Drosophila melanogaster: one gene and its partner. The protein of the gene in region 2 interacts with the protein of the main gene of each other region in a pairwise test. Each region holds a gene or a part of one and is shown on either strand. Other genes may lie near its edges. The genes, in order: dac and danr.

Region 1 (3,600 bases), on a different chromosome or scaffold from region 2:
TACGATGTCAAGGCGCTTTAGTTTGGTATAAACCGTATGCAGACCGCCGACCAAGTGCTTCAGGAAGAGCTCGAAGGCCTGCGGCAGGCAGAGCATCGTTTCGTTGCTAATTATGAATGCGGCGACCTTCTGACCCCGGTACTCCACCAGCTTGCACTCATTGGCACTGGGATCCGAGGTGGAGATCGGCGGCGGTGAGTTGTACGACCTTGGCGGCACATGGTGATGGGCGGCGGCCATCAGTTCCAAGGGGGAGGCATGGTGCATCATCTGCAGGGAGTTGAGGAGCCCCAGCGAATGGGGCGGCAGTCCATGGGGCATTCTGGGCGGTAGGCCCGTCGGCAGTCCGTTGCCCGATGGCATTCCATGTGGCGGGGGGCTGAGCTGATGGTGTTGCTGCTGCTGCTGTTGCTGCTGCTGTTGTTGCTGCTGTTGCTGCATCTGCTGCATCATGGAGTGGTTGAGGGAGCTCACCGGACTGACGGCACTGGGATGGCGACTTGGTGAACTGGCCGGTGAGCAACTGGATCCTCGTCCTGTGTGCGAGCTCCGTCCATTTGGACGATCCTCGTTGGCTCCACGCGAACTGTTGCTACCGTCGCGTCCATTGTGCTGCTGCTGTTGCTGCTGGGCTGCTGCGGCTGCCGCTGCTGCGGCTGCCTGCTGCTGCTGCTGGTGATGCATCAACATGGCGGTGGTGTTCATATTGCCCGCGGCTCTTTCAATACCACTATTAATATTGTTATTTATTGCGCCCGCTTTATTGTTGTTATTTTCACTCTGTTCACTTGTCACAGAATCCATACTTCATCATGGCCGACACTTTTGTTTATTTACTTTTTAATCGATTCGTTAATTTGACGTTTTTTCTATCGTGACAAAAATTTGACACAAAGTAAGGGAGAAATAGAAAATAGATGGTGAGAGGAAGATAAATAATTAATGAACTCTTAATTCATTTTTAATTATTTATTAGGCTTCTATATGCAAATTCTAAGTGAGCGTGTCTCGTATATTCCTATCCGCTTATTATTGGCTTTACATTTTTAATACTTCTGTAAGTTTTATAACATCAAATTTAAATGCAGACCTTCAAAAAATTTACAAACGATTTAGGATTTGTATTAGGCTCAGCTATGCTCCTATTTATTAAAATCTATTTTTGAGCCAGTTTAGTTAGTTATATGGTAGCTACAAGTTTATATTGCTAAATATTTTTTGTAAATTAATATCCTAACAAACATTTTACTTACAAAGAAATATAGAGAACTAACAGAAAATAGAAAAGTTTCCTTTCAGACATTTAAAGTCCGATTATCTTCTAATACCCCCCATAAATAATCCTTTATCAACAGAACTATTGCTTTGCAAACTTTGCTTTAATTAAGTTTTGGGAAAAACAAGGCAATGAAGCTAATTTGGATCCTTACTGCCAATTTGCATAAATATACCTATTGTCAGCTTTATTTGAATAATTCGATATAGAACATAGATTTACCTTTAAGGAGGTCTAAAAGTAATTTATAAACTCAACATCACTGACACAAGACACTCGCGCACTTTGCTTTTTGAATTTCGCTGTGAAATATATACTCTGAATATTTCAAGTTATTTATTCCGATTGCCCGCTTGTGTTAATCGAGTTCGAATAACCGTTTTCGTACTGGAATTTTGGAAACCGGAGCTGTGTCCGTTTTCGAGTACCGTACCGACGGATTGTCACTCAGAGATTGAGAGATGGCAGCTACTCCGCTGCGACGGCGACGGTGGCGTCGCTGCCTCTGCTTCTTCGCCTTCGACTGGTTCCTCTTCCCCCTCTCGTTCGGAGAAATCAACGAAACGAATTGCATTCGAATGGGAATCGACTGAGAGCGAGACGGCGCGAGGCGACGACTGCGAGTGAGCGAGTGAGCGGGCGCTAACGAGTGCTATTTTTTTAGCCCACCCACACACACGTACGTACGTACGTACACACGAAGCGCTACCGTTATGTACTGAGAGAAATGCGCGCGCAAAAGTTTTATTGCATTACCTTCTCTTGCGAATGACAAATTCGTAATGAAAGGCGAGTTTCAATTCGATTCCTTTCGGATTTTCGTGGCAGCGACGCCGGCAGCGCGGTCGGCCGAGACGAGTGTGCTTGTATGTGTGTGTCTGTGCCTGTGAGAGCGAGCTGGTGTATCTGTATCTGCGATTGTGCAAAACCAGAATACGAATACGAGTACGAATACGAATGTCTGTTGCCCGTCCACGTCTCGCATTACACCAATACCAGGCCAAAAAGGGGAGTGGTATGTGCGATTGATCGGTGTGTTTGCATCTGTGTATATTTCTGTGTGCAACCCCGAAAATACAATGACAAACGTAATCGCTCTCTCTCTCTTGCATTCGTTTTATTTATTTTTTCAATTCGTTTGTGCGTGTTGTGTTCTTCAAATCCTCCCGCTCTCTCTCTTTGGAAAAAAAAACGTTTTTCATTTCAATTTCATTTCGTTTCAGTCTGAGCCCTCTCTCTCACACCATCTCGCCATCTCTGTCGCACGCTCAGGTGGGCTGCAACCAATAAACACGAGCGAGCGAGAAAGCAGCATATTTGCATAGCCAGTCGTACATGTTTGCGCTCTCGCTCGCCCCCATGGGCGACGCCTTATATAAACAAATGACAATTGTTTTGGCATTTTGTGTTGCAAAGTAAATTATAATAAATGCATTGCCAGAGAAGAAAAGTAAAAAAAAATAGCTTTACTTCGAGTTTGCGCAGCTGTCTTTGACAAAAAGCATTTTAATTTCAATTAAAAGTAAATGACAAACTTTCAACGAATTATACTTTTCGGGGCAGTGTTGCTATCTCTTTCCGTCCCAAGCTTTGATTTTTTTTGTCAACCGTTTTCCGTTTCCCATTCGTTTCCATTCGAGTCCCGTTTATTTGTATTTCTTTTTGTGTTGCTGATTCGGAGGAGAGCAGCACTATGGCAGGGCATCTTTCTTCCACTTACACATATTGCGATAATGGGGTTTTTTTTCGCCTGAGGGGCGTTCGTTTTTCGGGTTCTTATAAATAGCATTGCTTATAAATTCTGGCATCGCACCTTTGCCACCTCTATATGTTTATGTACAATGTATCTGAGAGCTCGGTCATTTTTCTATTATTTGTCTTCGTTTCGCCTTCTGCGATTCTTCTCCATAACGATTGCCATTCCGTCGCCGAACCAATCGCATTCCGTTCTCTCCATTTGAGAGTTCCATGTACATATTTCTTTCTATATGGGAATGGAATACGTCTTTATGTATTGTGTTTGCACATGACGTATGAATTTTTCTTGTTCGTTTCGTTTGGGGCTTTTCTTTTGTGGATTTCCTCACCCACTGTCTTTTAGGTGACAGCAACCATTTAATATTAAATTGATTGCAAATGTGGATTTCCAACAGCTTTTAGAAAATATTTTCGGGCTTTAAAGAAGAATTTAAAACACAATAATTATTGTAATGTAAATATTTTATTTTTACATCGGTTTGTTTCATTAAAAAATAGTTATAAGATTATATTAGATATGAAAATTAATATGTAACGCTACTTTTTTTCTAAACTGTGACATTTTA
Region 2 (12,514 bases):
GTATGCTGAGCTATTAATACCTGTTGCAGTGATATTAATACGTTAATTGATAAGTACAAATGGCATTTGCATTGCGAAATGATTCGAGTTTCATTAATACTAAAGGTGGCTAATAACAATAAAAATGGATGTATTTACACTATGAACTACAACTACAACTATGCTATAATGTAGGGTGTCTACTGTTCGGCGTCGCTGGACCCGACGCTCTTGTCGGGAGTGTGGGATCTGCTGGACGCCTTGGAGGCGCAGGAGCGCACGGACAGATCCTCCGGCTCGCTGTCGCAGTAGCTTTCGTTGGAGGCCTCACTGTGCGCCAGTGGACTCAGTCGCTTTAGTAGCGCCTCGTTGAAAGGATATGTTTCGAGATCCGGCTCCGATCCGCCGCTGGCCATTTGGTTGGGATTGTAGCTGGGTCCACCTGGTCCTCCGCCGCCGGGCTGCATGGAGGCTGCGGCCGCAGCGAAGGCCAGGAAGTTCAAACTGGCATTGAAGAGCTTGCACCAGTCGAGCAGAGCCGCTCCCTGGTTATCGGTTCCAGTGGGCGGGGCGTTTGCCGGAGTCACTGGTGCTATCACAGGCGCTAGATCCGCAGGATTCGGGAAGGGTGCTGGCAGTAGGGGCATTGTGGTGTCCGAGAACATGGGAGTCTTCGCCTGCTCCGTGACAAGAGCTTGTGGTGCGGAACTGTTGGCCTCCAGGGCATTGTTGTTCTTATCGTTCACTTGCTCCGGCTGATTGGCGGAGTTCACCCGCTTGGCCGGATCCTTGGCCCAGTTCTTAACACTCAGCAAGGGGTAATTGTTTTTGCTGTAATCCTCGGAAGCAGCGGGCGAATCAATCACTTTGTTGTCCTCTGATTTCGGCTGTGCATCTACCAGGACATCGGCAGTCTGTGGGGTGAGTTTGGAGTTGAGCAGGGCCAGAAGATTCAGCTGGTGCAGCATGTTGTTGGAGTAGTCCATCACGCCGGCCTGACCCGGATGCAGTGCACCCTCCGGATGCAATCCACCGTTCTTTTTTACAAATTCCACAAGGCTAAGCTTCTCCAGCAGGGATTCATTTTGCACTGGGTAATCGGCTGGACTGTAGGGCAGTGCACCGAAGCCCAGCTCCTCGTAGTTTGGAGGCAGTGCCACGAACTTCGGTGGCAGCTGGAGCTGCAGCTCGAACTTGGCGCGCTTTTCCGGTGGCGTGTCGAGACCCAGGTGATCGGGGCCCAGCTGGCGGCACATGAAGCGCAGCTTCTGCTCGTTCTTGCACCAGCCACGCAGCGTGGACTCCGGCACTCCGATGTCCCGCGACACACTCGCCTTGGTTTCACCATTGTGGATGCGCTGGATGGCACGCACCTTGTCGTTGGGCGTGAGGTTCCTCAGAGGACGCTTGCCGCGCGTGCTCATCCGGATGTTCATGTGCTGGTAGGCGGAGATATCCATGGTTCTATTTCTGGTTGCGCTGGCGATAGCGATTGCGATTACGATAGCGGTTTCGAAGCGCGGACTTTGCGGATGCGACCACCGGTGTGCACTCCTCGAACTCGCAGAAGGATGTGATTGTGAATCCGATTCCGCGAAAGGCGAGCTGCGAACTGCGAACGGCGACAGGCGAACGGCGACCGCCGAGATGATCCGATGATTTTGCGGCGAAGAGAACGGCATGACGTTTTTCTCGCTTTTTCTCGACCAATCGGAGCAAAGCGCCACTCTCACCTTTCTCTCTCTCTCTCTCTCGCGCGCGCACCCACCACCCACCAGTGCAACAACTTGTTACTCATGTCCTGCTCACGAAATTCGCTCTGTTCGGCTCTCTTAACGGGTTTGATGTCCTGACCATCATTCGCGTCCCTCTTCGCGGGCTGCGTATGTGTGTGGTGGTGTTGTGGATCTAGATATTCAGCATGCAGGATGCACATTTCCAAATCGGCTCCTCCACGTGGCTGCGTGTGTGTGTGTGTATGTGCCCGTGTGTTTATATAAAAACCAGTTATTTACCTCCCATAAACATTCCCTCCTGCGAAAGTGTGTGTGCGTGTATTTGGCCAACCTTCTCGCATTCGCATGTGCGTGAGCGGATCTGATACGGACGTGGACCTGGTTGCACTTTTGGGTTGCGAATCTACCGAGAATAACACAATTCCACTCTATATTATTTGCACTCTCCATCTGTGTGTTTGCACTAATTTCCATGAGTACTCTTTGTCCGTTATTTGTGGTAAATATTTTCATTGCACCCTTATCTTATGAAGATAATAGAAAATATATAGACTAAAAGGTGATCAGGCTAAACTTATTAACACAAGTTTTGAATTCACTGCGTTTTTTTAAATATTTTTATTTATATGTATAAGTGCTCACGAAGTACAATAATATAAAAGAATAGCACATACCTTATATGGAGAACTTGCATAGTTCTTTGCTGATGATTATTCGCACACAAAATTGTTTTAACCTTCATAAAACGATGTAATTCATATAAATATATTATTTATGGATCACTTCTAATTTTTTGATTGCGACTGTATACTAAAAACGTACGTAATGTACATAACACCTTTGTTGGAACACCTTTCTAATTGTAATTCTTTGATTCTACCCCTAATCCAAAGAACTATGTATATGCTGTCAAACACTGTTATTGTTATTAAAATGGATTATAATGTCTCAATGAATCTCGTCGTTTAATTATTGTTTAAACTATTAATGCGTCTGCGCCGTCCACTAAAGAAAAAATAACAAAAGCTTTCAATCTCGAGAAAACTATCAGCATTCTAGAAGAAGAACTGCTTTAAAAGCTTTCAGCCTGGTAAATATACCAAATCATATTATAAATTGCGAAAATTGGCTAAGTACACTTTAAAATAATCATTTTAGAAATGCTAATCCGTTCAATATTCTCCTTAAATAATATCACACATCCCTTTTTTAATACTTTTTTATTGTGTTATTAAAAGACACAGTTTAGAAAGTAAGTAGCCTTTAGTATTTATGTTTGATTTACACATATTTAAATAAATTTTCTATTAACTATAATTTATTAGATTACATCTACTTGTATTGATTAATTTCCGTTTTGCTGTATGTTATAACTATATCATTATTTATTATTAAACAATTTTCATTCAAGTTTATTTGTCACAAAACTGTATTTTAAAATGAATGGATTGTTTTAAATTAAATATGAAACCTACACAATAAATAAACGATTGCAAGCGTACTCAAATCGTAATTATCGATTAAAATTAACAATTTGTTGACATACCGCATTGAGATACTCTTTCTGATACATAAAGTCAAAATAAGTGCACATTTAATGGAAAAATCAAATTGCATTAGATTTATAAGTATTTGCAGTATAAGTATGAGGAAACGGTATTTATTTTAAGTCTCAATTTATACATACATACAAATTTAAATATATACATAACCTATGTTGGCAGTTAGCCCTTACATTTTGTACATACACTTTATTGTTATTATATACATAATTTGTTTCAGTCGAAGGCTTATTAAACTAATTCTGAACGCATACGTCAAATGCACATACCCATATAAGTATATATCTTAATATATACTGCATGCCTTATCTTAACTTTAAACTAAAAAGAGATAACTATTCGGGGGCATCAATGGGAATAAATGCAATCAATTTAATAATAAATAAATAATATTAACTCTTTGGCGGCAAATAAAATATCTGATGGGTGCGTGGATATAATGGAATCTTCGTTTGCCAGTGCCTTCAGCGATATATTCTGTAACTTAGTGTAAGTCTTAAGTAACTTATTGTACCATTCATTAAAATTCGAATAATGATCACCGACATTTTGTAAAATTAGAAAACAATTAAAGTTAATGGAATACGCTATGAAGGTGACTGTGAGTGTGAAGATTCCGTTTGCTAAAAATTTACTTGTGAGTATATTTATGGAAATCGATCAACAATTCGTGAATATATGCGCGAACTTTATTCAACACCCCTTAACTTAAATTTACTTTATCGTTAGTAACAAATGTTAATAGCTTATAGATAATGATCCCATTTGCCCAATGCAACGACCTCCCTCTTCATCGAAGGTGGCCAAAGTTAATCGAGACAGCTTATTGCATAAGACTCCATTTCCATTATTTTGAATAGGATTTGGCTCTGAAAAGGGTTAGTAATCAGAATTGGATTTGATTATGACATATAGAGCTGATAGTATGTGGCTTACCATCGTGAAAAGGTTCTTGAGTGTTACCCTCCTGTTTTTTGTTTCTGATTTGATCTGTAAAGTGTGATATAAGTGCGTCTATCATGGCAGCTTGCTTTGAAAATATTTGCATCAGTTTGGACACTTGTATTCCGTTCTCGACGGCATCGAACTGCAAAGTAAATGATTCTAAGATCTTGTTTTTATAACAGCGAAAACACAGCGAAGTACCTGCAGGAAGATACAAGTGAGGCATTCGGGATCATCACTTGCACTTGGCTTTGCGTAATCCCACGACAAATCCTCGTATCGCAATCCCAGCAAGAGGGTCTGCATCAAAAGTGGTGAGTCATTAAACAGTGCGGATTAAAACTATACGTTATTTTAATATAAAATAACTTACACATTCGTACGGATCTATTACGAAAACCCCTCTCTCATTGACAGCGACCAAAACCTCCATGTCCTTTTGGTTGACCAGTGCCATAATTCCCCTAACAGGTTGTTCTATTTGGCCATGAAAATATGCGGCGCTGTGAGCATGAAATAAAAAAATTAATTATTAAATATATATTGTAAGATATATATCAGAAGCCTACCCATAGAATGGCAGAGCCCAGCAGAATTCCAGGTATTTCCTCATCAACTTTCGTGTGGTGGCCGTCTGGGGCACTCGCTTGAATTGCTCCAGAAGCTTCACTTCCGCAGAATTCTTCTGACTGATCGGTAGCCACAGCCAAGTGGAGCTCTTGGCCACGTGAGGAGGCAAAAATCTAGCTTGGTTCTCCCTAAATGATCAAATTAGCAGACAAAGTTAGAACTTGGCGTGTTTTATTAGTTTAGTATTAGACTTGCCGAAAGAATCCTATTGTATGGGTGTGGGAGTTGTAAGGACCCAGTTCGATGCGCGCTTGAATGCCACCCAACATTAGCGAATGCACCGGCTCCATGATATATCTGCCTGTCAGCACATTGTTTCTGGCCTCTTCATAGAGGAGCTCCAAGATCCGATGATCCCTGAAAATGATATCATAATATCAAGTTTGAAATGGGTTAATCTAAAGTTATTGATCGGTATTACTTTATTTTCTCCTCATCTCGCTTCGAGAAGAAGACATTCCGCTTCAAAACTATCATGGGCTCATCGAACTTTCGATCACTGGGACTGCTGTTGCTGAACTTCTGGAGGAGATTGGGCCACGCAACTCGCACTATGTAGGGGCAGTGGTGGGCCTTCAGCTGCATCTCCAGTAAAGCACTTGTCATCCACAATCCGAACACGCTCTGTGCCAGCAACTTATTGGATATGCCCAGCTCCTCGCATCCCAAGGCGGCTGCCAACATCACTTGCGATGGACACTGGGCAGTGCCCTCGATCTCCATGTGCACCGCCACCCGGGACATAAGATACACGCATGTGGGGATCACCTATGAAGTAAAGAATCGCATTCAAGTGGCTGAAAATGAATGGAATGTATCTTACATTTTGGAGAGCACGGGTTAAATTGGAAGCAGCTTTGCCGGCAGTCGCGAAGTTCGAAGTTGAGCTGGTCGCCATCAGGCGTTTTTGGATTGCGGGATTGGATTGGGCATCATTCCCATTGTTGCACTTGTGATGTTGTGGCATGTATGAGGAATTGGTGAGCACTCCTAAAAATGTTATAGATAAACAAATAGCATAACACTAAACATTGCAATTTAGTTTCTCTTACCGGATGGGCTCCTCAGGTCGGAAAGGGGACAAAGTGCACTTGCATTGCTCATCATGTTGGCGCCCATGTCGGGTAATCCACCCAGACAGGAAGCATTTCCAGAGGCGGCCATGGCGGAGGACACCTGTGCCGGCGACAGGCAGTCACCATCATTCTGGCCAGTGCTGACCACACTGGACACACTAGCCGACGAGGCGAAGGTGCTGCCCGCTGCCGTTTGGATCTGAGCTGTGGTCACCACACGATGCACGGTATACATGATTGGGGGAACGGGCATATTCACCGAGCCCAGGGACACGGGTACCTGCTGGTCGCACGTGACCACACCGGATGGGTTCTGATGGGTTTGAGTGGCTGCCACGCGTCCACTTCCGTTGCTGCTGCCGCCGGCGCTCGGGAAGATCGCACAGTTGTCGAAGGCATCTGGTGGATCGGCCACCGTGCCCTGTAATTGGGGCAACTGATGGATTGGTTCTGGGTGGCTCAATTGGTGGTTGTGTTGTAGCGATTGTTGGATGTGGAGAAAGTTTGCCTGTTGCTGCTGCTGCTGGTGCAGATGTTGCTGATGTTGCTGGTGCTGTTGGTGTTGCTGGTGTTGCTGATGCTGCTGCTGATGCTGCGGATGTTGGTGCTGATGCGGCTGCTGATGCGGTTGATGAGCTTGGTGCTGCGGTATTGCTGCTGCGGCATTGTTGGCTATATAGTAATCATCGCGACACTTCACATCCGTAGTGTTGTAATATAAATGCGATCTGAAAAGTAATTACGAATATTATAATGCATAAATTCGTTGAACTTGGTATAGCAAACGCACTCGTAGTCTTGTGTAGATAGCTTTTTTCGATTATACTGCAGTGTTCCCAGTGGAACAGTCATTATGTTGATATAGTTCCCAGCGTTGGCAGTATTCTTGCTGCATTGGCCACTGTTGCTGCACACAGATCCTCCGTACGGACTCCCCATGTTGCCATTCCCGCCGAGCGTTTTGCTGTTCCCACTGCGCGGAACCAAGTCCTTGGAGCTGTAGCCCGATTGCGATTGGCCGGAGCTACATGTCACATAATCCTGGCCAGCGTTCATCCCATAGTTGAGTTTGTTCGACGCATGTTGGGGAATGGAAGTCGAGGGATTCTGCTGCATGGCGCTCCGGCAGTAATAATGATTTGGCTCCATGTTCTTAAAATTCAAGTAATATTAATAGGATAAAATATATTTTATTAAGGAATCGTTCACATATTCATTTAATGCCAGTTAAGTGAACCTTACTGCTGTTTTAGTAGATCTGCTGCTAACAAATATGATTAGTTACTGTCGACGCCTTTTCGGGGTTCGCTTGAGCAATCAGGATAGCCCTCATTTTATCTGGCAGTTGCAAATATTCCACAAAAGTCCATTATAAGCAATTTATTAGCTATCAGTTGGCATTTCTGAAATGTAAATTCATACTCTTTCATGTATGTTTATTTAAATTTTAGAAATAAATGAGATAAAATATATTTTAGATGGGGGATAGTAATTTCATCGTTTATAATGTTTGGGATTTTGTATAAAAACGGTCATTTAATTCATTTACTTCCATCGCACAAACTTTCTGTATGCCTTGATATTCTGTTTTAAAATAACAAAATGGTCCTCAGTTCTGATATTTGATTTTTCGAGCAGGTGCAATAGAGGGTATGCTGTATACACACATGCTCGTACATACCTACACGAAGGTCTATATGTGCGAATGCGAATGCGAATATGGGCACTTTTTTTGTACGTCATGCTAATTCGAGTGCTTGCAAGTATGTCAGCGGGGGCATAACTTTTAACTTTATAATTGGAGGCACGTAAACACTGTATGTTAATTCAGTTCAGCTCACACGGCTGAGAAAAAAGTGCTGTGTCCTTAATCAATACATGCCTTCATATGTATGCATACACACACACACTCACATACACTAACACACACTTACAGACACACACGCACATATCCTTCTAACTGGGTGGGACTTTGAAGGCCATAGTTTTTCACCGAACCATAGCCTCAGCACTTTAATTTTATTCCTTTTGCAATGGTTTCCTTTCGTTGGGAAGCACTCCGTCTTTGCCTAAATGTATCTACATATCGGTGAAATCCTCCACGGCACGCAAACGGTTGGGTTGGAAAAAATGTTTTACACGGATTTCGCACGAAAGATACATTTTCCGCTGTATTGTCTTTGGTTGCGAGAAGCTATGTGATTTGCTGCCTTCGGGCTTGTTTGCTTTTTCATCGGGCTCCGGAGGAATTCATTGTTTTAAACAGGCTAGTGTAGATTTTTACTGTGGCAATTCACGACGAATCGAATGATGACGAGAAGTTCCCGAACTTTTTAGTACACAAAATGCCAAAACAGGCGACTTAGCACCAAAATATCTACTTATACAACACCACTTTCGAACACAGCCAACCGAAGTAAACAAACACATGCAAACTCGGGCCCCATATGAGGCGCATGCGCCCCAAAATCCCAGCTTAAAGTTCGCCCAGCAACAAGACTATCGATAAGAGCCAGTTTCAACCGTTAACAAAATCAATATATACATATATATATATATCTCTTTGATAAGGAATCAACATATATATTCAGTTCCGTAAACATTCTCTTTTATTGTATCAACTGGCATTACTTTTTTAAAGCATTTTTAACACTTCCTTAAGTTATGGCTCAACACATTTTGCATACATTTGATTTAGTTATTTGTGATACTTCTGAAGTTGCGGGGCCGATAGCTTGACCTTTCCTGGTATATTCCTGGCCAACGACTCTTCCTTTATACTTTTCAGTAAGTCCTTCTCACGAGCACTGCAGCTCTTCTCCTTTGCGAAGATATTAAGTGCTAGTTTCGCCGCCTTTCCTCTTTTTCCCGTACCTGGGGTGAGCTTTACTTTAAACCTAAAAAGGATATCACATTTACAATAAACATTTTATGCGAACTTTCAGTATAGCCTACTTGTAGTTTTGCAAAGCCTGATAGGGAGCAACGACTGGAATCGCGAACAGCAGCTCATCTCCTTCGTGCGGCTGTCCAGTCAGACTGTTGAGTACATCCACATCCCCACCGACGGGCACTTCATCAGCATCGTCCAGTTCCACTGGGTTTTTGGGAGCTGCACTTTTTTCTGGCTTCACGTACTCCTTGGTTGACTCACTTTTCTCCACCACTTTATCGGCACTGGCCTGTGGCTTTTCCTTACCCGATGACTTGAGAATCATCATGCGAATTTCCCGCTCTTCATCATCTTGATCCTTGTATTTTTGCTTCATTTTCTTGAGCTTTCCCTTCTGACCTCTCTTAACTTGAGATGGATTTTTTGGTTCACTACTCACAGGAGGGACTTCCTGCTTGGCAGCTTCTTGTTTCGCCCGTGCCTTGTCTTCCTTGGTCTTTTTGGCACTTACTTGCTTTTTACGACTTGGACCAGCCAAAATAATGGTCGTTTCTTCATCGTCCGTCTTTTTCAAAATTTTGTCTAGGACAACTTCACTCTCTTTAGTCTCTTCAATCTCTGGATTTACGGAGTCGGATCTGACTATAATGCGACCAGTATCGTGCTCAATCTTAACTTCTGTATTGGGAAAAGCTGTAATTTCGGTATTGGAGCTTGGTTCCGATAGATTTATATTTGAATCAGCGTCTTCATTATCCGACAAAAGATCATGTTCAACTTCGTTTTCTTTAACATTTGGATCTATTTGATCATCCTCCAGGCTTCTAACTTTACGCTCTCCCAAATGGCGCTCAATGAAGCTATCCTCCAACTTGAAAAGTAAACTTAGACCCATGGTCAGGTGGCAGGAGGGAAGGAAGTTCTTCTTTCCTCTGATCATAAAGCTTCCCGTTGCCAAGTACTCTCCAGTCGGTGCAGTTTTGCTGACCTGATCGCTTGTTACCCAGTACGAGTTGGTAACCACTTTGGCATCCCAAGCAACACTGTACGAAATAGCCATGGATCCTGCCTCTAGCAACGTTTTGGGAGGTATTTCTTCTCCTGTGGGATTTTGAATAATAACACTCGAGGCGCCTTGAATCTCAGCGTGCACATAAATGTCTTTCGGACGCATATATCTGGAATAACAACATGTCATAATTATAAATACTTCGATCTATTTAAGTAATTGAAAGCAAACCTTTTAACAATAAGCTCGTTCTGCTGGGCATCTCTTCCTCCAATAACCAAATAATTTTCAGAGCTGATAAACCAGTAAAACTTTTCAAACCAGAAAACTTTCCGTGCCTTTACTATGTTCGATATAGTCCTCACTTCCTTGAGCGTCTGCTGCGTCTTGCGCTCCGCAGACTTAAGAGCTTTTTGGGAAGCATCTACAGTTTTCTTTTCTTTTTGAGCAGCCGAACGTTTCATATCGTAGTATCGACGGGCATTGGCCCAAGCAGACAGAGCCAAGTCGACATCCACAACAGTAACCTCTGGATCCTTAAGATCGTCGTCTTCATCGTTGTCATATGGATCGCTGAGCATAAGGGATATATGATTAGTCTCCAGTTTAAGCTGCTTTATGGAACTAGCTACAGCATCGCCATTTGCCTGTGCCTCCTTTACAAGCTCGTGAATATCCGGCCAGGATAATTGACTGGCAATAGCTGACTGAACAGCCCGAATTGCATTATCCACCAGACTTTGATTGGACGTTATTAGCTCTGCTTTCTTTCTGTCCACATCTTGGACTTTTGTCAATTCCTCTAGACGCTTTGCGTGGTCATTCTTGACATTAGACAGCTTTTTTAGTGCCTCACGCTCTTGCTGTAGCGTTTTCATGTCAATCTTTTGCGACTCTTGCGTAGAGTAAAATTCATCAACGGCTTCCATAAAGGACTCAAATGTGGCCTTTTCAAAGTTTTTGAATTGAATAAAGAGGTAGGGATGAAATTCGATGTTTCTAAAGAAAAACTCCACCGTTCCATTCTCTGTAGGCTTTTCCTCTTTAACTTGAATAATGTAGCCTTTACTTTTTCCACTATTTCCCTCAGCTATAAGCTCTTGAGCATCCTAAAAGATTGCACAGAACGTTTTATTTACTTTAACAGCAATAATAAATATTTCCACGATATTGTTCTTACCTTTACTGCTTGCTGAAGAATTGGCAAGTCATTAACCATGTCAAATGGTTTCTGTTCCAGTTTCGTATTCTGTTGCTTCTTACGTTGCTTTTTACCGCCCTTCTCCGGCTTGTCCTCCGCCTCCGGCGTTTCTTCCGTTGTTTCCTTTTTGATAACGTGATTGTCCAAGCCGTGTGAGAGGAGAACATGCTCTATAACTGCCGGACCACAGTCCAAGTTGGGTGTTAGAATCTGTCGCAAATAGTCGCCGTTCCTGGCATTTTCCAACAGCTTAACCAAAGCTTCCAGTTCCAGTTCCTTCGTGGGCTGTTTGGCCCGTTCCACGGGATATTTCTCGCGCATGGCGAAGCGCAGGTTCTCGCCCTCCGTATGCGGACGCAAAATATATAACGTGGTCAGCTCGTAGTCGGTGAGGATCACATTACCACGATCGTAGAGCTCCAAAATAACATGGTAGGCGGCATCACCGGTACCGAACTGAAAGTCAACAATACGATCGCTACCCATCTGTTGAACCTTTTCCAGGCGCTTGTTCTTCAAGTGCTTCCTCAACTTCATGCTGAAACCGGACGGAGCCATGTTCTTGGGCCATTCGAACCTAGTGGTATGGAATCTTGTACCAGATTCTATTAGCAGAGTGACCTTCTCCACTGCACCGGTCCCTTGCATCCGGAAGAGGTAGGTCTTGTTATCCACGTCATAGATCTGATTCACTCGCCAGCCGACCAGCCTGGAATATAAATGTAGATGTACCATTATTCCTGGGCATCGGAATTATCCGGATTTTTTACATACTTTTGCAGTTCCGCCACTCCGCAGATTATATCGAAGGTATTGAAACGTGTCTTCATGGTTCTTTATGGAAAGTTGACGATGTCAACACGGAAAGTGAAGAAAAAAGAATCTATCTGGCAACTTAACTTATCATTAAATATTCACAAGTTCGCTATCTACGTTAGATAAGTTAAATTAGTTTAATAGGGAATAATAACAATTTTATTCACTTGCGAAATTAAGTATCGGTGTAAATTGCGATGGACGAACTTTAAACAAAATATATCGATTGTATGCTGTTGATGATTCGGATTGTCAGAATGAATTCGCTGTATAATTACTATGTATTAAATATTTGTATTGTTTATGCAATGAGTAAGAAGCTTCTTTGATTTATCTAAAAAGTTATTAAGCATTTAATAAAGTTTCAGTCAGCTGTTTCCCTTTCCGTGGACTATTCCACTTCGTTCCGATAAGAAATCGATACATAGGTAGTCGGAAAATGGAACTGCTGTGTCATCGCCAATCTTCATTTGTAAATATGAATGCGGATGGACCTGTTGTCAACGTGCACGTGTTGTTCTTTGCTAAATCCCGTGAATTAGCAAACACTCCCCGGTCGACAGTGGAAGTTCCTACTGAAATTACTGCCACCGAACTGCTGGACCACCTGGTGTCCAAATTTGGCCTGACCTCCATCCGGGATAACTTGATTTTGGCCCACAACGAG

What was found.
Region 1: the proteins of danr (region 2) and dac interact in a two-hybrid assay, tested with the Drosophila melanogaster proteins (one study listed by BioGRID).

What each region holds. Positions count from the first base shown.
Region 1 is NT_033779.5:16,483,939-16,487,538, forward strand, and holds the start of dac (dachshund), read right to left. Parts: upstream 2,061-3,600; 5' UTR 1,499-2,060; intron 870-1,498; 5' UTR 805-869; coding exon 1-804.
Region 2 is NT_033777.3:25,127,158-25,139,671, reverse strand, and holds the start of danr (distal antenna-related), read right to left. Parts: upstream 1,601-12,514; 5' UTR 1,440-1,600; coding exon 180-1,439; 3' UTR 1-179. Other genes in the region: Bili (Band4.1 inhibitor LRP interactor), read right to left, coding at 4,016-4,146, 4,214-4,364, 4,424-4,522, 4,596-4,725, 4,792-4,980, 5,048-5,209, 5,274-5,620, 5,676-5,842 and 2 more; Clbn (caliban), read right to left, coding at 8,627-8,825, 8,884-9,999, 10,062-10,939, 11,011-11,740, 11,806-11,861; Mocs2A (molybdenum cofactor synthesis 2A), read left to right, coding at 12,326-12,514. UniProt on the Drosophila melanogaster protein: Probable transcription factor with a role in the retinal determination (RD) network. Regulates ato expression and is required for normal R8 induction and differentiation.